4 linked regions of the Schizosaccharomyces pombe genome follow. The protein of the gene in region 4 binds, or shares a complex with, the protein of the main gene of each other region. Each region holds a gene or a part of one and is shown on either strand. Other genes may lie near its edges.

Region 1 (7,685 bases), on a different chromosome or scaffold from region 4:
AGATGGCATTCCTGCCGAAACAATTTCGAAGCTATTACCTCACGTTCACTCACTCGCTGGTGAATTTTCTCCAATTGACTCTTCCCTTTTCTTAAATTCTCTACATCATAAGGGAAATATGGAATCTAATGCGGAAGTATCTCCCGACGGAATGACTTTATTGCCAAGAAAAAGAGGTAGACCTAGAAAATCTGCAAATATTTCTGTAACCTCATCTCCCATTCGGCCCTCTAAAAATGAAAATAATCTACCTTCCCTTGCTATTTCACCAGTTTCCGAAGGGTTCATCCAAAATGCTACAATTTCTACCCCTAGCACTAGTAGCAACCTAAGCATAGCAGGATCTTTGACACCCTCGAAAACGTCACGAATTTATAGAGGCCTTGCTCCTCTAAAAAACCCAGAATTTAATGAAGACCATGTTAAAAAAGCAGAACATTTGGAGCCTCTTTTGAACGTGTCATCAAGTGTTCCTTCGAAGAATTTCACGGTTAGTTCGCCAGATCACCTAAAATATGGAAACACATCTTCTTTACAAGTCTCTGATTCTCAAAGCTCAATTGATTTAGACTCTTCATTTCATTATCCCGTTTCAGTAGACTCACAATTATCCCATTCGACAGGCAGTCTAATGGCTAACTTTTCATCCCCTACGAAAAAGCGCCGTTTGGAATCTGTAGACTTTATATTCCTACAACGTAAAGGTTTAATTCTTTCCTATCTCGTTGAACAGAATGGGGCTTTTGAAATATCTCGAAAGATGTTTGAAGACTTGGCAGACCTTAAAGTGCGACGAAACCCGGAAACTTCTAGGACCGTTATGGATAGGAGAACTTTTCAGCAAACCCTTGAAAAATTAATGCAAGAGAAAAAGGTTCGTAAATTAGTGATTGCAACAAACAATGGACTTGGGAAGCTCGTTAGAAAAGATATCGTGGTACAATACGATATGAAGCCTGATTCACCTAGGTTTCAACAGTTAAGAGCTCAAATTACAACTCCTGAAATCGAAAAACAATCAACTCCAGAAATATTAAAAGATGTAGATGTCGATTTTTTGAAAAGGAATACTTCTTTGTCAAGGCGTAAATCTATGCCAGCGGAAATAAAACGTCACAAGGAATCTTCTGAGACTAAACCTGTTGATAAAGAGGAGGTGAAGAAAAATGAAAAGGAGAAAGACGATCCAATGAGACTCGCGCAACAACTTTTAGAATCATTGGCTCCCGATTTCGCACTGCACGAAAATACCCAACAGAAAAGCCCAGTAGAAAAACCTAAAAAGTTGCGGAAAGATAGATACGCTTCAGTGGAGGAATTTGATTATTTTTCTTCAACTGAACATGCAAGCAAACGTTCAGTTAAACGCTTCAAAAATGATTTTACATCAGATGAGGATGAGACCTTGATTAGAGCGGTTGTTATTACTCAAATTTATTATGGTGGGACCAACAGATTAATCAAATGGGAGGCTGTACAGAAATGCTTTCCTAACCGGGACATATATGCTCTTACTAGAAGATATTTATCCATTAGACAACATACAAAATTTAAAGGCTTGCAACAGTTTTTATCAGAAAATTGGCAGCAAATGTACAAAGATGCTGTCTCAAGAAAAGATTTAATGCCATATCCTGATTCTGTTGATGATTTTGATCCTACCCCATATGTTAAGGCGTCTTGTAGACCTTATATGATTAGTTCTTCAAATCTTGCTACTACTAGGTTACCGAGAGACCTCGTTGACGTTTATGAAACTTACAATATAGAGGTTGTTAAACAAGAAACTAATTTCCGGGAAATGATATTTGATCCTTCCCTGTCAGTTGCCTCGAAAATGAATGCGTATTGTGATATGCCTTTTACCATGCCGCTTTCCTTAAATGACAAACAAAATAATGAAGGGGATGAGAATTGTGAGAAAGGTCAGTTGTTTGATGCGAAGTCTACTATCAAGAGCATCGTTGCCATCCCAGACGCTACATATGATGCTCGGTTTTCGCAAGAACGTCTTATGCAGTATCCAGAAGATATTCTCATCGCTGCTCATCAAGAATTATTGGATAAGAGAATAATTACTAGAGTTAATTCAGAAAACAGTAGATTGCAGCCTGGTCGAAACTTCCAGTTTACGGAGAAATTTGCAAGTTCCCTCAAGTCTCCTTTACCTCCATTTTTATTGTCACAAGCCAAGCGATTTAATAAATTTTTATTGGAGGGTTTTCAAAATCATAAGAATCATTTATTTGAAGAAACATCTAACAGTGGAACTCTCGCATGTATCCTTGATTTATTATCTCAAGGAAAGTTGCAAATATCTATAGTCGGAAGCAAGTTTAATGAGTATGGTCTATCTGAAGGCTATCGTACTCGTTTGCTAGAACATGACAATATCAATGTAACTCTTGTTCTCAGCGGCAAAGAAAGTGAATCTAAAAAAAATTATGGTGTTACTGAAAAGTTGGCAACTCCACCTTCGCATGAGCCACGGCTATGGTTAAATGGTAAATGCGAGCTTATTGAGATGATATGGATGAATATCGAGCAGTCCATTGTATACCAACTGCTTCGAAAACCCGGAATCTTGAGATCCCAACTGACTAACTTACTATTTCCCGGATTAGAACCCCGTGAGTTTAACGAAGTACTTGATTACTTTATAGCAGCAGGTGCCGCTATTGAAAAGGATGGCTTATATCTAAACCATAATTATCTCTTTAAATTAACTTAGCCTTTTAAATGTCACCATGATGAGATGATGCAAGCTGAGTATTTTCTTTCAATAGGCTTGTCGATTTGGAACATTTATATTACAAGCAACGATTTAATGTTTATTTGTACAGTATTTAGGATTCATTTTTAAATTATCTAAAAGATACCACGCTGTGTCTGCTTCTAATCTATAATTAATTATATTAGCGTGTTTTGAATTAATCTGATTTCGCGTTTTCTTCCATCTAAACTTTATATCGTATAAAAATCAAAAAGGTTTCATCGACTGTTTTGCTGAAAAGGTGAAGAAAACTTGAATCGAGGTTATCTCTTTTCTTTCTGTTTTATGTACATAACTTTAGCTCCTATAGAAAAAAGAAAAAACCTGCATCATGTAGATTTGTTTAACTAATTTACGTATGCATATATATATATATATATATATATTAGTAGAGTAAGGTTGATTTTCTAACCATACTTTATTTACGGTAGCATCATTCGTACCTTTTCGTACGTTACGACCACGTTGAAAGTTTTCAAAGAAATTACTTTTTAAACACAAAAGAACATAAATAAAAGAGAAGTAAATATGTCAGACAGTCCAATTGAACTTATGCGGTCCACGCTTGCTGGTTTTCAAATTGCACCAGATGTGAAAACCATCTCAAACATTCAAGACATTCGCGCACAGATACAGAGCTTCAGAGAAAAAGAATTGGAAGGATCTCAAACCAAATTTAAAGGTTAGTTTTAATCTAGAAATAAACGACCATGCATTAACTGTGAATAGTGCTTTCAAGAAAATTAGAAATATCTACCCAGGCTATGGAGTCATTAAAACAAACAGCAGAGTCATCACAACACGCTGAGGAGATTTTAAGCAGGGAAAAGGAGAAATTTAGGATAGCCAAGTTGTTGAATATCACTGAGAACGAAATTATGAGTTTAGAATCTCAATTGCAGAAAATGAAGGAACAGCTACTACAACTTGAGGAACGCGAAAATACTTCTGAAGACATATGTCAGTCAGAGGAAAATGCGAATATGTTAAAGCTGAACTTTTATCATTCTTTAGGCTTCGATTTAGAAACTGCTGAGAACACTGGGAATAAAAGGGTTATAATACGTATGTCATTTGCTCATAATTTGAATTTACCTTTCAATTTTTTATCTTTAAAAAGCTTGATGATATGAAAAATTCAAGCTTTAAAATTGAACTTTAAAACTGTTTTTCGAATCTACTCACACTTTCCTAGATACCGAAAACGATTTGCAAACGGTACAAATCAGCAACAAGTATAGCCCATATTTTTATTCTAATTATTTTTGGGATTTGCTTGATGATAGTAAGGACAAAAAATAGATGGCACTATTATTTTATTTATTTATTTAATCTTGATTGTGTATACCGGTTTTTAAACATGACTCAACATAACGAATGGCCGCTATAAGAGAATCCAATTTGATATTATACAATTTGGCTACCATGATAGTAACCCGATGAGCTGTATTTTCTGTATTAGGTGAAAAAGGAAGCATTGATATATAAGCATCCTTTCGTCGTGAAAAGTCCATTTTATCAGACTCTTTAATGCCTACAGGTTTGAACACTTGTTCTAACTTTACATCTTCAGCAATGACGGATTCGTCGGTGAGTATATCTGTAGGTTGATTTTCTTGTAAATGGCTGTCTTTCGAAAGAATCGGAAATACGTTAAGAATTCCTTCTGGAATATTATTTGGGTTGTTTTCTTCGACAAACTCTTTTTCATACCATTGAAAATATTTATCCATTTCAGAGTTATTGAGCGTCAAAATGGATTGCTCGTCTATCTCGTAGAACTTGTCTTTTTCTTTCTCATTAATTTTTTGCACTTGGGATAACCACATGTTCCAGTTGGTTTTAACAGTGAACATCGAGTCTTTGTATTTGGAATTTCGAGTTTGGGCATCATCAAACCCATAACATACATTTGCTGCTACTAAGATGGTAGCGAGTAACATAACCTCCGCATCAGATAACTTTTCATGTATCGATTGAGCACTGCGTATTTTGCTTTGATAATTATCGCTAGAGGTACCTTGAAGTGAAATCTGCGAGTGAACGAGATTTAGTAAACGAGAAGCAGGTATGAAGATTTCTAAGGGAAAAAAGAAACTGTTAATAAGCTCAAAAAGTATCAATGGCTCATTAGGTGGAGGAACTTTTAGTTCGTATTTAGATACTAAAACGTCAACCAATGTCAAGACAGCGGATTGTATGCGTTGATACGTTGGATAATGAAAAGGAATTAGCATCCTTACATAGTTTTTTTGAAGCCTTTTAAATATTTTTAGAGGTATCTGTTTATACGCTCTATAATATGGAATAATATTTTTCCTTATTAAAACTTCGAGTTTATGAATGGTCAGAGGCAGTCTTAGTAAAAGACAGGCGACATAAATAAAGGCAGAAGAGTATAAAAGCCGAGGATAAGATATAGAATGCGACTGAGAAGTTTCCTTCGTTTTTCTTGAGCTCGGATCAGCTCCCGGTTGACTCTCAGGATCTATGAGATCAAAATCCGAATCTGATGATTCTGATTGCGTTGAATTTTGGTTGAGGGAAAGAAAACTAGAAGTAAATGATTCATAAGACAGGGAAAGGTAAAGCGCCCAAAGGTCACGTATCATGCCTTCTATTCTTTGGTCAAATCCGAGTTTCGTAGTTAACGCTTGACATTGAAGTTGAAGAATAATTTGAAAAGCCTGAAGATATAAGCTTCTACCAGCGGTACCATAAACAATCTCATCTTCATCTCCAGTGTCTAGATGGTTGCGAACAACCTTTCTTTTACGAGTTTGATAAAAAGTCCCTGCACCAGGTTCATCATCTTGAGCGATTTCAATTCCCTAAAATTTAACAATTTTATTAATGAACATTCATTAAAGCGCAAACCTATTAAAAACAACTTACATGTTGAGCATGACCACGACGACAAAATGTTTGACCTGCATTTTTAAAATACCAAGTACTTTTGCAGTTTCTTACAGAACAAGGCGGACCTTCAAACCAATTGCCTTCCATTGTAAAGGAACTGGATATGCAAATAGATGCAGACTTATTTAAAAGTACAAACAGTGAACTATAGACGAAGAAAAATAAGAGAACAAAACACTTAAAGGGTATTCAAGTAGGTAAGCATTTGTAAAAAGATCTGCACAGTTTCTAACGGTGTTGTTATTTATAAACTGCTATGCCAGCATTTTACCAATATTTTGGAAAGTATGAATCGACTGAAAAAACCTAACAGATTTTCTTTCAGCTGCGAAATACCGTTTATATAGTTTTGGATAAATCCTTCACAAATGTATCACAGTAGACTGTTAGTCAGTCAGTAGCGATAGGCAGTTTTTGAGATCTAACGGGCGCCACGTTAATACATATGAGTTGTAACGGCTTGGTAGATAGTGCATACATTGATTAACTATTGTGAAAAGCCATTATATAAAAACTGCAAGTCCACTCTAGATTATATATTACCTCGGGTATCCAACCTTGAGACATAAAGGTTGAAACTAGGATAAAAATTGAGGAAAGTTAAAATAGGCTGAAGAAAAGGTGCTACTGATACATTTAAAAGAGAAAATAACAGCCATCAAGCAGTTTGATACATACCCGTAGTACGAATATATAACCATAATCTAATTTATCTTAAAACTATCAGATATATAAGAAGTCTTACGTTTACAGATTCCAAAGAACATTCTATTTACAAAAATCGTTAAACAAACAATGAATATGGTAAAGGAGGAGCAAAACTTGTTTACTAAACGACCATTTTTAAAGGGAAGAGGGTTTATATTTAGGCGCTGGGAGCATCACGGCAAGCGAGAGCAATCTCTTCACCCATGGCAGAGACAACGGTAATGATTAAATCCTTACCCTCTTCAAAGCCCTCTTCAATTTCGTTGCCGAGTTCGCCTTCGGGAAGACGAACATCGTCCTTGGTAGTACCATCGGTAGTCATGAGGTTCAAGTAGCCATCATCAATGTTGACTAGTTGGTATTCGTCACGCTTGACAACAGGAACGTCCATGTTATGAGTAGAGGGAGACATATCTTCGTACTTGCGACCATTGAAGATATCAAGGGCAACAATGTGGACCTTGGCATGTCCGTGCTTACCAGTCTTAGAGGTGGACATGTCGACGATCTTGCAAGGACGGCCCTTGATGACGACGTGTCCGTTCTTACGCAAAGCAGAGCATTGCATAGGGAAGGTCAAAGAGGCACCGGCCTCACCACCCTCGAAATCGACGTGTTCTTCTTCTGCCATTGTTGGTTTATGCTCTTTCTGTATGAACATGCCCATCACTTTCCCATTTGTTAAATGTGACTACTTTTTCCATGTGAGATTGCTTTAACCCTACCCTAAAGCAACCAAACTAAGTGCAGTGAAGTAAAACGTAATACATGTTATTTGAAGTATACCTTTGCAACGTTAAAATTCGTAAAGTAACTCATCATAATTATTTGACGTATCGTTAGATTACATTAAATTGTTCAGGCTTAACACTGATGGAAGCGCCGAAACCAGGGTGATAAACAACACCTAAATTAAACTTAACCCTCCTTAACTTACCAAACTAACTATTTGCAGGATTATACCTTCCATTTGTTCTGGGATGCAGCTGTCACGTTGAGATATAACATCTATAGGTACAGTATAATAAGTCCGGCATGCAGAGAGCTTCTACCCAGGATGTTTATGATGGAAGTGGTGATGATCTAAACAAACTTGATTCTCTCAAGTCAGTGTTGAATGATGTTCTGAGCTCTTTGGAGCGATTCCAGGTGGATCTGGATGTCGCTACTAGTGATATCTACAAAGTCAGTGAGCGCTCAAACAAAATTCAAGTAAATTTAAACAATTTGAAGGCAGTGGAGTCAGCACTTGGAGCAGAGATTGATGGTGCGATTCTTCCACCTG
Region 2 (4,958 bases), 1.2 Mb from region 4:
TAGACGCAGCAGCACCCATATATACATTCCAATTCCCACATACTTCCCTTCTTTGATCGAAATTATTGCATCTTAGAAAGTATTTATTTTGAGTATTCAATTTGATTTTGTTTTTATTTTTGTAACCAGATATGATTGTTTTACACCACTTAAAGAACTCTCGCTCTACTCGAATTGTATGGATGCTCGAAGAACTCAAAGTGCCTTATGAAATCAAAGTTTATGACCGTGTCGACGGACGTGCTCCCCCAGCGTATACTAAGTTGTCACCATTAGGCAAGAGTCCTATCGTTGTCGATGACGGTGTCACTTACATTGAAAGTGCAGCCATTTTGGAGCACCTGGTCAGAAAGTATGGACCGTCATTTAAACCCTCAGAAGAGGATGTTGCCGAATTGGAAAAATATGAATTATGGATGCACTTTTCTGAAGCATCTCTTATGCCATTTATTTGGGCAAGTCATGTTTTGGATCTTAGTGTGAACATGACTCCCATTTTCTTTCGTTATATTGTTCGCCAGTTTGTGAATGGGATAAAATCCAAGTATCTAAGTAAAGAAACATTTTTGAACCTTGACTACATTGATAATCACCTCGCATCGAACGAATACTTTGCAGGCGAACAGTTCACCGCTGCGGACCCGCAGATGTGCTTTCCTATATTTGCTGCTCAAAGAGATTACCTATCTCAGAAACCTTACAAAAATATTAAGCGTTGGATGCGGGTTGTCAGTGATAGGCCTGCATGTCGAATTGCTGCTGAAAAAGTTGAAGACAATACGTTGACTTTGTTTTCTGATGTGGAAAGGTACTCCCATCCCCCTACCCCTCCTCCCGAGCAAGTTCGCTCTGATGAATAAGATTTCTGCCGTGGCTCTTTTTTTCTTAAGCAAGTCGGCTTGAGACATACAAGGCTTCAGCAAGCTTACTTTTTTATTCTGCTTGTACGGAACTTATGCTGTTAATGTAGATAATGATTTGTACAATAACTAGGATATTGTGGTAACTACATAAAAATTTTTGCGACACCCCTTTTGAAATGATTTTCCGATGCAAGAAACAAGGCTTCGGTGCTTAAACGCTTGGACTTTTCTCTCTTTATCTGTCTCCCTCTCTATACATATATATATATATTATATACGCGTATACATCTAGTTTTGTGAATGGGAACATGTTACTGTTATTTAGTCTGAAAAAGAAGTTATGGTTACAAATCTTGTTTTTGATTTAATGTTAATTTATATATGACTACTTTTGAATTCAATAAGTTTTGCTGCTGTTGCATGAATTGTTTAACTAGGTAGTGAAAACTTAGAAGAGTATTTATTTTGTAAAGAATGCTTTAGTGTACAGTTAAACAAGTTCTCCATTTTCTTTCACTTTATGACAGAAGACATAAACAGGGCCCTACTAACTAACTTTTTTTAACATGAAACATGAAACAGTATAATGAACTTGGACGTTATCGTAATCACTTACAACGTATGATTTGTTGGCCATCCTTAAACAAAGAAAGTTGGAATGATGTATGAATAAAATACCATGGCTTACAAATTGTACCGAAAGCGTCCGTAGGCAATTGCTACTACCACTAATATAAATGGACAAGAAAGAGTATTGTTATTATTGCTTTGAAGTAGTTGCTGCAACTTTAGAGCATCGAAAGGTCCGAGACAAGTGGAATGCAAAGAGTTGGACCCGTAGTATCCCTCTGTTCGTAAAGTTTGCATCTGGAAAAGGCCATGATAAACAACTACGAGGTTGCATTGGAACTTTCCGGGCACGTCCTTTAGTTACAAATTTAACATATTTCAGTAAACAAGCGTAAGTGTGTCTAAAAATGGTTCATAGTTCGTTGTAGGCGTCAATGATAAATCATAGACCTTCGTATGAAATTGCCGATGAAATTGAAAAGAAGAGTAACCGAATGCTAATACAACATTTTAAAAATAGTGCATTTTGTGATGAACGTTTTCGTCCTATCTCCTTGGGAGAATTGGCTCTTTTAGAGTGCCAGATAGACTTGTTAGTCGACTTTGAACCGATAGATGATCCATTAGATTGGGAAGTTGGCATACATGGCGTGTCTATTAAATTTACGGCAAATGGAATTCGTTATTCTTCGACTTATCTACCTTCTGTAGCGGCTGAACAACGTTGGGATCAAGAGGAAACCCTAGAAAGCTTGATACATAAAGCAGGCTACTATGGATCAATACGTTCTTTACAAATAACTGCTACTCGCTATAAGTCCTTGGAAATCGGGTGTACTTATGAAGAATATCTTCATAATTTGGAGCTTCTGGGATAACCTGATCTATATACAATGGTTCTTTTCTATCTATTTACATAGCGTAATTAAGCTATCGCTTAAGTTTTCAGCCAGTACTATCACATCCAAATTCTTTTCAGACTAATGATTTCTATCTCTCAGCTAAAAATTTAACTTTCTCTTAATATATTCTAATCTATTAATCATATATTCTTAAAGAAAAACATTTCTTTCTAGCATTCATGTCGTCTCACGGAGATGCTAGCGTTTTACCAAAAATTGCATTGGAAAGGTGTGTTTCATAATCCCATGTAGTTTAGAGCTTTTATTTATGCTTTTAATTTGAAATTAGAAAATCTGATTTTAACACTTTATAAGTATCAACGATTACAGTTACGTAAAATCGGTGTTTCGTCAAGCCATACAAGAAAAACTTGCTATTCATTTACCAGAACAAGCTTCACGGGAAGCTGGAATGGGTCGTGAAGACCAATTGCGAATTCGAGTCAAAGAAATGTTAAACGAGGTGAGTATACAGTACACGCTTCTAATCAGCCATAAAGTCGAAATTCCATAGCAGCTTCGATTAAAAAAAATATATATATATATAAAGTAAAATGAGAGACCTCTTCAATTACTAATGCTTAACATATAGCTGATTGAATCCACTTTCTCAATAATACAAGAAAACGTTACAATCAATGGCTTTGATGCAAATTCAGCCTTGCAAGATCCAAAAAATTCCGACCAAATTGAGCCATTTGATCTGGCTCTTCGTACTCGAGTCCAACAATTATTCAATGAAGTAGAAGATGCTCATGTCCTAGTGGCTCGATACCGAAAGTCTGTACCAGCACAATATGAAAAGGCATATGTTGATGCGATGGAGCAACAGACCGCATTTTTAAGAAACGTGAAAGATGACTATGTTTCTCTCCAAGATAAAGAAGTAGAAAACCCGGATGAACAAACTTCGACAACTGTGTTTAGAAAAGAGGACATCGACCGATACGAGCAGACTATTGCTAAAGTAGCATATTTAAAGAAAAATCTCCCTAGAGTAGTTGCCCGATTGGAAAAAACTCCTTAATCATTAATAATTTTAATATACGGGTAAACTAATATTAATTTAGTGCTATTTCATCTCAACTTATACTTCATTCCAACTGCTCACCAGAAACAAACCGGTTGATTCATAATGTACTAATCTTAACAAATCTTATTAATCAGTGCATAACTGCAGACAACATATTAAATAGTTTATCAAATTCGTATAATGCTTATATTGATTCTAATTATATCAGTCTTTTTCTTTTCAAAACCATGGAAATTTAAATGAATCAAATTTGTGATTTTAATCATAGTACCACGGCTCGTGAACAACTAAATTATTGTCATAGTAATGTCCATTAACACCCGTTCCTTCAAATAATGATGGATACCTGTGTGATTCAGGAACGTGTTCCTTGTCGATTCTGACGTTCCTACCTAAATCTTTGGTAACCAAAAACTTTCCGGTTTGAAGCTCGGTGTCTGTTATAGTAGAGCGATGAAGTCTAGCATAACCAATTCGCTTGACACCTCGATAAAATATATACTGACACCAACGATCATAGTCAGCAGGTTCAATGTCTAACATTCCCGTGTCTCGCGTTAGAATAGTTTGGGGTTCTTGGCCAACGTTTGAAACAACATATCCGAGAAACACTAGAGGCCTTGGACTCTCGCGCATAATTCGAGCCAACTCAGTGCTCTGAAGACGTCGATCCAACTGACTTTCATATTGACCATTGTGAGAAACCACAACATCTATTAGCTCTCCGTAGACATCTAGTGTTGCATGAATAGCAGGAGCAAGTTCTCCTTGAGGAGAAGGTAACAAATGGTGAGTCGAGTTGACAATAGGAAATTTGGAGAGTAACGCAGCGCCCCAAGTATGTTTATCAGGGCCTGGGCCATAATCCGCATACATTCCTAGATCATGTGCTAAAACCTGGGTTAAATCTCGAAATCCCATAATTAAACGTTGTGTGTCAGATTCCAGTAGACCAAAGACATCAAGTTCCATATCTCGAACAGCATCGCGTATACGATTCTCACTTGCATACATGAAATTGTCTAAGCCAAAGTGAATAGTCCAAATACCAGCAGTGAAAAGCTTTTCATTTGGATGGTAAGGTGTATAGTCATACGGAGGCATATTCTGAATGGCAAATTTTAGGGCCATAAGAGCCAGACAAAAACCTGTCAATAGTGATTTTTTGAAACTTCTTCTACGATAAGAAGAATCTGATTGTTTGATATCTACTACAGATGAGTCTGCTTTGTTGGGTTCTTTGGACTCACCCGAATACGCAGGTACTAAAGCTGCAAGGTTCCAACCAATGAAAATTAGAATGTAAGAAGTTCTCTCTCGAAGAATGGGTCCACCTGGAACAAACTCGTAGGCTACGACCCAAACATGAGCTAATGAGTAAAGGATGTAAACCAAAAAAGCGCCACCCCAAACCTTCGCAGGAGAATAGAAGGAGGAAATTCTGATAGAAGCGAACGAGTAAATTAAAACGTAGGAAGTAAATATTAACCCACCCAAATAACTACACCATCCATGGTTAATATACATAAAATATGATCCGAAGCAGGCTAAAACAAATCCAATAAGCATAAAAGCACCTGATTGATATAA
Region 3 (5,698 bases), on a different chromosome or scaffold from region 4:
CAATTAAATTTTTTGTAGTTTTTTATTTTTTGAACGCCGATTTTCTGGCTGAAATTCTAGTTACATGCCTCAAACGGACAGGTTCGTTAACTTAAAATTCAACATCGAAATATTCTGTACTTTTTTAAATCTTTAAGTAATGTATAAAAAACCAGTATGAAATTTTGAAAATGTCAATTGAATTTACTCAAAACAATCAAAAATATTGACATCTACCATGATACATTAAAATGTTCATAATAAAAAATCAAATTAAATTAAAACATTAAAAGACTAAGGGGCATATAATTATTAATTGTGCACGAAAAAAATATAAAAATTAAATAAACTGTTCCCCAAAAATTGAAATGTTAGGATTCACAAATATTATCAAGCTATATTGAAGGGATGAAAACCGTTGACTAATTATCTAATTTTATTTATTTGCTAATTGTAACGAGTTCAAAAATTCTATTGTTCTATACAAAATTTGTAATTAATATGAATGTAAACTAAATTCACGCAATCATTAATTGTTAATTTGGAAGCTTGATATTATTACGATTCGCATTTTACATAGCTGCTGTCACTATTTTTAAGAAAAGAATCGGATTTTTTTAACAATTCATTGTTTAGCGCTATTATATTACAACACTTCTTTTTTTTTTTTTTTGTTATAGTAAACCGCTAATGCAAACTACATAGGACTATTAGCTCCAATCGTTCACCATATTGAATGGAAGAGTAAAGATAATCTTATTGATGAACATCCCTATTTTGTAACAAGACAAAAGCAAGCTTTAAGCAATTCGGGATAGTAAGTTCAACTTTCTAAATCGTAATTCACATACGTACTTAAAACAACAGTAAAAGATAACGAAATGTGCTTTGTTGGGATAAAATATGTTCATCAATGTACATTTGTATATATGCGATAATGAAATTGATTTGCTGCGACTTAATACGACCAGTGTTGGTACGTCAAGTATCAAGTGATCGCACGCATCGTGAAAACTTCAGTAGTAAAAAATCATCAGTATACTTTATATCAATTTTTTTTTTATAAAAAAAAAAAGGCGCATGATGAGGTGGATGGGAAGATTCCCATTTTACACTGAAAACTACACTTAATGATCCAAGGACAAAAAACTTTATACACAAAAAGCCACAAACTATCTGTCTTCGGCCCATTCCTGCAAGCGGTTAGAATTAAGTTAATAAAGTACCAAGGAACGTACATTTTCTTTACGGATTTGCTCTTCCTCCTCAGGCGTAAAATCATTAGGGATGTTAAATGTTTTCCGAATGTCCTCAGGACTCTTGCCACGAATCATGTTGGCAACGGTTTTACAACCAGTATCAAGCAAAGGTTTAATATCCAAATAATTGCTTGCCAAAACTATCTCGAACAACATTTCCTGGTCTACGGCCATAAACTTACGATCCCATTCATCAATATCGGTAGACTTTTTTAATCTAATGTCACTTTCCTCCTCAGTTCCTGAATACAAATCGTTTTTGTGATGCTCACACCATTCGAGTACCTTTCGCAAAACGTTCGATGATACGTTTGGAAGAGGAATGGGGACATTAATCTCACCAACGTCTATTGAAATTGAGATTTTAGTAACAGGGTCCATAATAATTATTGCACTCAACAAGCGCTTGTATAGATCATACCTTCAAGCATATTTTTTATAAGCATACTTCTCTCAGCGATCAGTTGATCTATAAACAGTTTGTCAATTCACTCAATTCAAAACATTCTCCGTTCTACATACCGACCACGAACTCTTCATTGTCAGATGAAATCAGTTTGATTTTGGACATTGTTGATGTATGTAAGTAATGGATGAATGAAAGTTAAGCTGTTAGCATTTCTAGTTATGCTGATATTCCTACAGTGGCAGAACTCACTAATTCGATATTGGGAAAAGGTGCTAACCCTCATTAAATCAAATTGCATAGCAGAACGATCCCACCGTGATAGCTAAAAAAGGCTACTGAAGAATAATAAAAGAAAGCATAGAAATTGAGGTTTAAGATGAGTCCGTACTATTAATGTATAATTCGAATATAGTTAATATTAGTGTATTCCTCCACTAGAGCTTAGTTGAGGATATAGAAACTCTAGTAATGATTTACCAAGCACAAATCAAAAGCCACACTTCTAAGCAACTAACAAAATAAACCGACTAAACTGTTAATCGCCTGAGTTATATGTTCCTCACAGCAATAAAAACAGCAACAAATCTATGTATTATTCATACTTTTTGATGGGATATACGGAAATCCCTTTTACCTCGTTATTATCATATCTGAGTACACCAGACAAAATGCAACATGGGGTTGGTACATTGCAGAACAACTTGCCGTTTAAAAATCATAACTCACTAGTTTCCTCTTTGGAAGCTAATCAGTGTTTTCAATGTAAAGGAATTAATTAAAAAATGTTAGTGGAGTTACTAGAATTCACTCCTCTCTCCTTCATTGATGATGTGATCAACATTACGAACCAACTGTTATATAAAGGTGTAAATGGTGTGGATAAAGCCTTTTCACAAACGCGGTTTGCTAAAAAAGCGCCACAGGAAATAGAAGAAGGACTACACAAGTTCGAGGTTCTCTTTGAAAGTGTGGTGGATCGTTACTATGATGGTTTCGAGGTGTATACACTTCGAAACATTTTTAGTTATCCACCAGAGCTAAAAGGCTACATGCGTACGTTTGGAAAGGATGTAGACTATTCAATCACAACAGAGCAAGACGCCGCCATGGATCAAGCAATTCAAGAGGCTGCAGAAAAACTCGTAGTAAAGATGCAACTACGTCGTGACCTTCGCATGCGTCTCAGCAGGAAAAGAGAAAAAAAAACAGAAATAGAAAAGCATTTGGAAAGAATTTCTTTTCTCAACAAAGTACCCGAAAATTGGCAAGTTACTTTACCAGAAACTACCGATTTCCTTCTTGATCAACTTGGTAATCTGCAGCATGCCGTTAAAAGAGTAGTTGAAGCCTCTCCCACTGTACACTCACGAGAGGTGGATGAAAGAATTACCTACTTAGAAAAAGGTTACGAACGATTATCTAATCCCATCGACCAGCAAAAGGATTTTTGGTCACATCACTTGTCAAAACTAGAATCGACAGCCAATACTGAAACTGCAAATAACATTCATAAGTTGCTATTGTCATCTGAAAAAGACGTCGGACATACTGACGAGCCTTAATACTAATCAACTAGCTAAAGTCTTGAGATGTTCTAACAATTGTGATCGTTTACGTAAACTTTCATAATAAATATATAAGAATTGGCGTTGGATCTCTAGCGAAAGCAAAGTAATGCTTAATAAAGAAAACTTGGATTGTCTCTGTCACTTTTTCCGTTACATTTTTATTTGTTTTGTTTAACTTCTCTTTTTTCCTAAATAACTGAATGGATAATAATTATTCTGACCCATTAACTCCAAATCTGTCAAACAATTCGACACTTGTACATTTTTCATGCTCTGCCACTTTGCCAATCATTCCCAAAGCAATATCCCGTATTTCATTATAGGTATGGAGTAGATCGATATGTTTTTGTACAGTTTGCTTAGCATCTCGATTTCTAAATCATTTGTCAACATTAGATAAAACGAGACAAGCTTGATGATGACTTGAATAGATTTGATGGAACGGCAATACATTGCTTTTCCCAAAATGAACCTGAACGCGCGTAAAGGCGCATAACTCATATTTTCTACCATTTCTAGCATCACTTTACCACACTTACTTTAGCTTAGCTAAAGCGTCTTGTAAACTACTTTCCAATTGCTCCTTCTGCTGTTCAAGCAAATGGACGCGTGACTCAAGTTGAGACTGCAGTAATTCATCAGTATTTTGTGAATGAACAATGGTACCGTTGGCTTACCTTTTCCATACGATTTAAACAGTTCTTTCTTAATGAAGCAATGATGTGTGAAATTTACTAGGAAGGTATCTGTTTTTGAACACCTAGTAGAAATTAAGTTGTTGAGGAAGGCAGGAGCCTACCGATTTGTTCAATTGAAAACAATGTCTATTGTTCTTGTAAGAGAGAATTTAGATTAGTGATGAAAGACAAGTAAATTGTTGAATCACGAACAATGGCTTATTTCAATATAATGAACTTCGCTAATTTGTATAAGAAAGTATAAGGATCACATCGGTTTTCGTATGCCCATGTACAAATTGCCTTCTTGCATGTATTTAAAGAATTGCTTACATTAGCATTTCCTGATTTAAAAATTGTTAATAAACATTTAAATTTTCCCATCTGTTTGAAGTGTATACTTAAGAAGTTTCAAATTCTGAACTTGTCTTAATATTTTGTCTCTTATTGGATAAAGCACGATTTGATTCCAAGCATGTTATTTCCTAGAGTTGTGCCGTTTCAATCTTTAAGGACAGCATTCCAAAAGAAAACCTTTTTACCAGTATCTTCAGCTGGTAACGTTTTCACTCCACGTTTCCAATTGCAAGCAATTCGCAGCATATGGATCCGATCGGAGGAGACACCGAACGAAAACGCTTTGAAGTTCCTGCCAGGGCTAGATATCTTGCCTCCAACTATCGGAAGCTGTGAATTCATGAGAGGACAAGGAACTGTGAATTCTCCATTGGCACAGAAACTATTTGATATAGATGGAGTTGATAGCATTTTTTTTGGAAAGGACTTTATTACTGTTTCCAAGGGAGCAGGAACTGAATGGGCTCAAATGAAGCCAGAAGTGTTTAGTGTAATTATGGAGCATTTAAGTAATGGAAGCCCAGTACTCTCTGAAGAGCCTCTAAAGGGGGCTAGCGATACTCAAATATTAGAAAGCGACAGTCAAATTGTTGCAATGATTAAAGAACTGATCGAGACTAGCATTCGTCCATCTATCCAAGAAGACGGTGGTGATGTGGAATTTAGAGGGTTTGATGAGAAGACAGGTACCGTTTCTCTTAAACTTCGAGGTGCATGTCGAACCTGTTCGTCATCAGCTGTGACACTAAAAAATGGAATTCAGCAAATGCTGAAGCATTACATTCCGGAAGTGGAAAATGTTGTACAAGTTTTAGATCCAGAAGAGGAGGTTGCAATTGCCGAGTTTGAAAAATTTGAACAGCGCATTAACGGAAACAAACAGAAAGCTGATAACAAGTAACTTTTTCCATTCAACATAGGGAATTTGGTTCATTTAAAAGACTTTGGTGATAGAAATTAATAATTGACGAACAAAACGCTATTTATGAGTTTTAAGAAAAAACAGCAAATAACAATGAATATTTACACTGTATTCGATAAAAAACACATACTACTATATAAGACGATTTGTTTAATCATATAATGTTACTTTCTTGGTTCATTTTCGACTGCAAATTTTATGTACGAATAATGAAGATGTGTATCATATAAACTACAGGTTTCATCAACACCTGTATTATTCAGAGATATTTAAATGTTTTAATAATAGCGAGGGTACATATTTATGAAATAAATAAGTAAAAATTTTGAAATACTGTTGGAATGTTTCGTTGATGTCCCTGTACGCAGATGACTATTTTCGAAATTTGAAAAGGAGAATTGATACACAGAACGGAGTTGAGTTAATGTTAGCCTTTGGCTCTCTTTTGCTTAAAAAACGATACTCGAAAAATTGACTAGTTAGAAAAGGTGGTAATGCATTCGTATATTTTCAATTAAGCTCTAGGT
Region 4 (5,345 bases):
ATCTTCCTCAGACCCCTCTACTTCCAAAGGTGGACCAGCAAATGCTGCATGTAAAGCTTCAAGTTCTTTCGAATCCTCGATAAGCTTAGCCCTTTCTTCGATAGATGAACCTTCAGCAGTTCTGATTAGACTTTTAATAAAATCATTTTCATTGACTTTTCTTCTAAGTTCTCCATTCGAAACCGCATGTAGCAATCCAATCGTTCCGCAAGCATTTGGAATTGTTTGAGGGTACCACAAGACTTTGTCACTATCCTTTGGTAAAATTCGTGATCCTTTATATATAGTTTTTGTTCCTGAGGATGGAAAAACGAATAAAAGAGCATGGACAGGACGAGGGATATATTCGGGGATTTCCTCTAATGAAAACAGGTCAAAAACGCTAGCATCTTGTACACCGATTTTTTGTAAGTAAGGTTCCAGCACCTCTGGTGTATTTTCTAAAGGCCTCCACATTGTAATTTTTCTCGAATGATAAATGGCTCTAATTGAGGCTTTTTTGATCAGGTTTGGAAGGCGTGGCAGAGGTCTCAGAAGTCAGCAAAGAGGCAAAACACCAAAGTTTGACAAAGTTAATCGAATATCTTTAGATTGCCAATTTTGGGAATCTACAAAAAAGCTTTACTATAATCAGTATCCTATACTTCAATATCCTGTCACGTTCAGCTATGAAGATGACTGTAAAAATAGGGATTGTTCCATAGGTATATTATAAATAGAGTCATAAAATATTAATAATTACCAAGATTTACCTATATACATTTACTGTAAAATCTAAAATTCTGGCTTCGAAGTCCAACCAACGTTCTTATAGGTAGTGTTGAAATATTTGCACGAATAAAGATTTTTCAAAATGAAGATACTAAGAGTTAGAAGACCTTAAGTTTCTGAGAAGTTCAGCAATATAAAGCTCCACGTGCGATTTCAATTTTTCGAATTCCATAGTTATAGAGGATATTTGAGACTCCAGTTCTTCTCGCATTCCAGCAATTTTTTGTTCGGTCATCTCTATCATGGCATTTTTCTTTTCAGTCTCCTGAATCTTTTTATTCCTTTCTTGGGTAATTACTTTGTATTCTTCCCGTATGTTGTCCATTCGTTGTTTGGCAGCCTCAAGTTTTTGATTTCGAGAATGTTGTTCATGCTCGAGTTTTTCTTGAGCATTAGATAATTGCTTTAAAAGTTGTTCTTTTCTGAACTCAAGTTTTTTTTTGTTTATTTCTATTTGATCGCAAAGCTCTTGATTTGTAGAAAGCAACACAGTAGCATGTTCCAGTTTATCCAATTCTACAAGACATTCTTCAAGCACTTTCAAACAAGCATTCAAGTCTCCTTCAATTAACTGTAAACTGTTCAATTTTGTATGCAGAATTTTTGACTTTTTATCCAGTTCCACTTGCTGCGACCGATCATTTTGTATCCGTAACGATGTGTCTGCTATCTTTCCTTTCAGCTTTTCAGGAGAATGTACAATAGAGGACTGAAGTTTTTCAATTTCTTCCAAAGTACTGGCCATTAATGAATCGACGTTGTGATACCTAATCTTTAACTCTGAGGCCTCCATTCTAATGCGATCATATTCTGTACGAACTTGAGAGCACAATCGTTTGTCTTCTATCAAAGACTGAAACATTTCTTCGTTTCTTTCTTCATTCTGTTTAATAATTGCCTCACTTTCCAATTTCCTATCTTGGCTTAACAAAACTTTTTCCTCTAAATCTTTTCGTTGTGCATCTAAAAGGGTATACGTTTCCAGAAGGCTTTCTCGCTTCTGTATATCATCATCAAATTGCTGTAACCTCTCTTCTCTGAGTTTTGCAAAATTAATAACTGCTGATAAAATTAGTTGTAGTCGATTTCTGTCTGGTTTCAATAGGTCTTGAATCGTAAAGTCATGAAAACAGATGTTTTGCATGAATTGACTTAAAATCTGATAAAAAACAGTAAATCTTAAAGACTCATGTATTATCTCGAAATTCTCGACAGAATCTTGTAACGAATTAACCTTCTCTTCTAAATTCTGGCGGGTCAACCCCATAAACAAGTCAAGAAATTCTTCATACAGAGGGATGACGGCTTTCGAGGTTGGTTGGTCAAGCTCTTTAGCCGTGAATGGAATTCCAAGACCATCTATGCATTCTAAAATCTCAGCACGCTTCAAAGAAGGAAATGTGTGTTTTCGTGCCATGGTAAAGTTGATGGTTAACTGAACAACTGGATTTTACGTATTTAATCTGCTTTGATTGTGAATTTAATTATAAATATAATAAAATAAAATTTAAATTTTTTATTTAGTTGCATGTTCTAGATATTCAATTTTTCATTCTTTTTAAAAAATCAAGAACAAAGCTGAATTTCGTATAAGTTTTTCTTCTGTCATACATAGTAAATTAACAACTCCGTTTTATATATCTTTTTTAAAAAGTGAACGATTTGATTTAAAATAGTTCTATATAGTTTATATAATTTTACAATCGATGGTTTATCTCAAACGTTGCATGTAAGCAAGAAACAATATAAGGAGCATATAAAAGCTGAAACTAGATAAGAAGATAAAAAAATTAACATTTATGCCTGATGACCCAACTTTACTAAAAGCCTGAAAGGGCTAATGATAGATGAAACCAAAGTTTTAGGTTGACTTGGCTGCAACAGCTTCCTTAACCTTAGCATCAAACTTTGCAACAGCAGATTCAACGGCTGACAAACCTTCGTCTAAGTCGGCTTCTGGAATAGTTAAAGGAGGAAGGAAGCGGAAAACTGAAGGATTATTGAGTGAACAGTAGACTTGGACGTGATATGTATCGGCAAGGTCATTGACAATAGGAGTTGCATAGTATTCGCCGAATTCTTCTTGAACTGACTCAGGAATGGGATAAAATTCAATACCAACTATCATTCCTCGACCACGAACATCCTTCATAACATGAGGGAATTTTGTTTGAAGTTTATTAAGACGATCAAACATGATACCACCTAACTTGCGGCATCTAGAAAGAAGGTCGTTTTGCACGATATAATCGATGGTAGCAACACCGGCGGCAAGTCCAAGAGTGTTTTCTTGATAAGTGGCAGTGTGCAGAAAAGCCGTTTCAAGGGAATTGTAAGCAGCATTCCAAAGCTCCTCTGTAGCGATATACCCTGCAAATGGAATGAGTCCGCCTGAAAATCCTTTGGCGAAAGCGATACAATCCGGAATGATGTTTTCGTATTCACAGGCCCAGAATTTACCGGTACGACCACAACCGGTTTGAATTTCGTCTAAAACGAGATATGTATCGTACTTAGTGCAAAGTTCACGAGCCTTTGCAAGATAACCTGGAGGAGGGACAATAACACCACCTTCGCCTTGAATAGGCTCAACAATGAATGAACGGTACATACCAGAGGATAAGGCAACTTGAAGTGCTTCCGCATCACCGTAAGGGACGTAGTCAACGTCGAAAGGAGCAGGACTTTGATATTTTTGCCATTTTTCTTTGCCGCCTAAAAAGACGGCACCAGTGGTTTTACCATGGAAAGAGTTCAAAGTAGAAAGAAACTTTTTCTTGTTAGGCTTATAACGGGTAGCAAGGCGAATCAATTTAATAACTCCCTCATTAGCTTCAGCACCACCGGTTGCAGTCCATGTGCGAGTAAGTTTTTGACCAGGAGATAGCAAAGCCATATTGCGACCAAAGGCAGCTGCAAGGTTACGATAGGAAATGGCACCCATCATATATAACTTGGCATCAAAGCATTTCTGTAAGCAATCCCAAACATACTGATTGTTGTTACCGACCGTTACGACTCCAACGCCTCCAATTAAGTCCAGATGCTCAGTACCCTTTTCATCAACAAAACGAGAATTATCAGCTTTCACAAAATTGCGAGCGTGGCCATGGACAGTGCGTAACTTGTTTAAGTGGTCGAGTTGTAACTTGACAGTCGTTTCTGGGTCCATTTTCATGGCTTCGTCGAAGCACCACAAACCCTCAGGATAATTGCTGGCTGTTCCATTTTCGGAGGAGGCATCGGTTTTTGAACCATTTGTGTTAAGTTCAACCGTCTTTGAGGTAGCAGTAGCAGTGGACGTGGAATCAATCATGATAAGTGCGTAAATTTAACGTAAATAAACGAGCAGGAAAGATAGTTCTTAACTCAAAGCTTCTTAAATGTAATTTCCAAATGAATCTTTACAGTATATGGTTACCTTGTATAATCCACTCCTTAGATTGAAGAAAAGGTCGAATGAATGTTAACCTTTTACAATTGTTGGCATTCACAGGCAGCTTTAGCCTATATATATAGTAAAAATCATCAATGCCATATTCCTATGTACTTGACCGAAAAATGGCTATTACCTCTCTCACATCCCCCGATCAAAGTCGTACTGCCCAGATAGCAATTAGCGTACTACAGCCTTCGAGTTGGCCGACGGGCAGAACCGAGAAGAAGATATACTCTAATATTTGATCATTACAGAATTGGTCTCAATTATAAGAATTCAAGAAAAAATATCATGCAATGAAGTGTATTTAGTTCAAAAAAGCTTTGGCGCTAATAATAATGTTGGAGCAGAAACAAATGATTGCGCAGAACTATTTTACATAGGATAAAGTAAGCAAAAAAAAAATAATAATAATAATAATTAATTAAAAAGATTAGATTGAATCAAACTATGTGATTTAATTTATTGAAATAAAACTGGTGTTGATTGTGGATATCTATGTAATAAAGGTTACATGTTTTTTTTTTAATAATTTTTATTTATTTATGAATTAATTGGAAAATGTTTAAAAAAGGGCATTCAGCTGTGTCTGGATATTTAATTTTAAATATAAAATAAATATAGATATATTAAAACGATAAAAATGAAAATAATATTTGTCACTTGTCGTATACAGTCTTTAGGATAATAAATTGTAAAGCAAAAATAAATAAATAAATTATAAATTATAAAGGTCACAATAAGATATAAATGACAGCTTTCTGTCTGAATCAGTTTATCTAATAAATTCAAAATTAATAAAATGTATTAAATCATCTCATATTCATATAACGATCAGTTCTTTTGACCGTCGCGATAATACCGCCGAGCCTTAAATTTCCTAGAGATAGAAATTGAAATTTCATTCCTGCTATAATCTGTAACTCTCTACACACTGCGCATCTCGTAGATCTTGATATACTTTGAGATCCCCGTATTCGGCTCAGCTTTGTAATCTAAAGATACCGCGGAGTGAATGTTGGCCGAACTTGGTGTAGCCGAAAATGAAAGAGGAAATAAAGATGTGTCGCAAAGCCAACACAGTGATCTATCGTATTTGTTGGTATTGAATAGTCCGATCCAGTTTACAATGTTG

What was found.
Region 1: nuf2 (region 4) and spc24 share a complex: the UniProt entries of both Schizosaccharomyces pombe proteins name them as parts of the NMS super complex.
Region 2: nuf2 (region 4) and mis14 share a complex: the UniProt entries of both Schizosaccharomyces pombe proteins name them as parts of the NMS super complex.
Region 3: nuf2 (region 4) and mis12 share a complex: the UniProt entries of both Schizosaccharomyces pombe proteins name them as parts of the NMS super complex.

Annotation. Positions count from the first base shown.
Region 1 is NC_003423.3:2,752,204-2,759,888, forward strand, and holds spc24 (protein Spc24), read left to right. Parts: upstream 1-3,222; 5' UTR 3,223-3,301; coding exon 3,302-3,455; exon of another isoform or gene 3,456-3,502; coding exon 3,503-3,838; exon of another isoform or gene 3,839-3,968; coding exon 3,969-4,075; 3' UTR 4,076-4,101; coding exon of another isoform or gene 4,102-5,604; 3' UTR 5,605-5,668; coding exon of another isoform or gene 5,669-5,779; 3' UTR 5,780-6,557; coding exon of another isoform or gene 6,558-7,031; 3' UTR 7,032-7,185; downstream 7,186-7,685. Other genes in the region: transcription factor TFIIIC subunit Sfc3, read left to right, coding at 1-2,731; RNA polymerase I general transcription initiation factor subunit Rrn7, read right to left, coding at 4,102-5,604, 5,669-5,779; tif512 (putative translation elongation factor eIF5A), read right to left, coding at 6,558-7,031; GARP complex subunit Vps52, read left to right, coding at 7,436-7,685. UniProt on the Schizosaccharomyces pombe protein: Acts as a component of the NMS (Ndc80-MIND-Spc7) super complex which has a role in kinetochore function during late meiotic prophase and throughout the mitotic cell cycle.
Region 2 is NC_003424.3:3,111,969-3,116,926, reverse strand, and holds mis14 (MIS12/MIND complex Mis14/Nsl1), read left to right. Parts: upstream 1-2,380; 5' UTR 2,381-2,514; coding exon 2,515-2,564; exon of another isoform or gene 2,565-2,650; coding exon 2,651-2,798; exon of another isoform or gene 2,799-2,927; coding exon 2,928-3,362; 3' UTR 3,363-3,475; downstream 3,476-4,958. Other genes in the region: glutathione S-transferase Gst3, read left to right, coding at 132-860; SPOM_SPAC688.03C (AMMECR1 family protein), read left to right, coding at 1,601-1,824, 1,954-2,311; cwh43 (glycosylceramide biosynthesis protein), read right to left, coding at 3,627-4,958. UniProt on the Schizosaccharomyces pombe protein: Acts as a component of the NMS (Ndc80-MIND-Spc7) super complex which has a role in kinetochore function during late meiotic prophase and throughout the mitotic cell cycle.
Region 3 is NC_003423.3:1,136,259-1,141,956, reverse strand, and holds mis12 (MIS12/MIND complex Mis12), read left to right. Parts: upstream 1-2,338; 5' UTR 2,339-2,429; coding exon 2,430-3,209; 3' UTR 3,210-3,426; coding exon of another isoform or gene 3,427-3,589; 3' UTR 3,590-3,754; coding exon of another isoform or gene 3,755-3,840; 3' UTR 3,841-3,892; coding exon of another isoform or gene 3,893-3,901; 3' UTR 3,902-4,204; downstream 4,205-5,698. Other genes in the region: SCF ubiquitin ligase complex subunit Skp1, read right to left, coding at 1,152-1,172, 1,218-1,585, 1,660-1,707, 1,761-1,809; protein Swi5, read right to left, coding at 3,427-3,589, 3,755-3,840, 3,893-3,901; NifU-like protein nfu1, read left to right, coding at 4,368-5,150. UniProt on the Schizosaccharomyces pombe protein: Acts as a component of the NMS (Ndc80-MIND-Spc7) super complex which has a role in kinetochore function during late meiotic prophase and throughout the mitotic cell cycle.
Region 4 is NC_003424.3:4,321,020-4,326,364, forward strand, and holds nuf2 (protein Nuf2), read right to left. Parts: upstream 2,205-5,345; 5' UTR 2,189-2,204; coding exon 863-2,188; 3' UTR 501-862; downstream 1-500. Other genes in the region: ubiquitin hydrolase Uch1, read right to left, coding at 1-456; SPOM_SPAC27F1.05C (aminotransferase), read right to left, coding at 2,633-4,087. UniProt on the Schizosaccharomyces pombe protein: Acts as a component of the NMS (Ndc80-MIND-Spc7) super complex which has a role in kinetochore function during late meiotic prophase and throughout the mitotic cell cycle.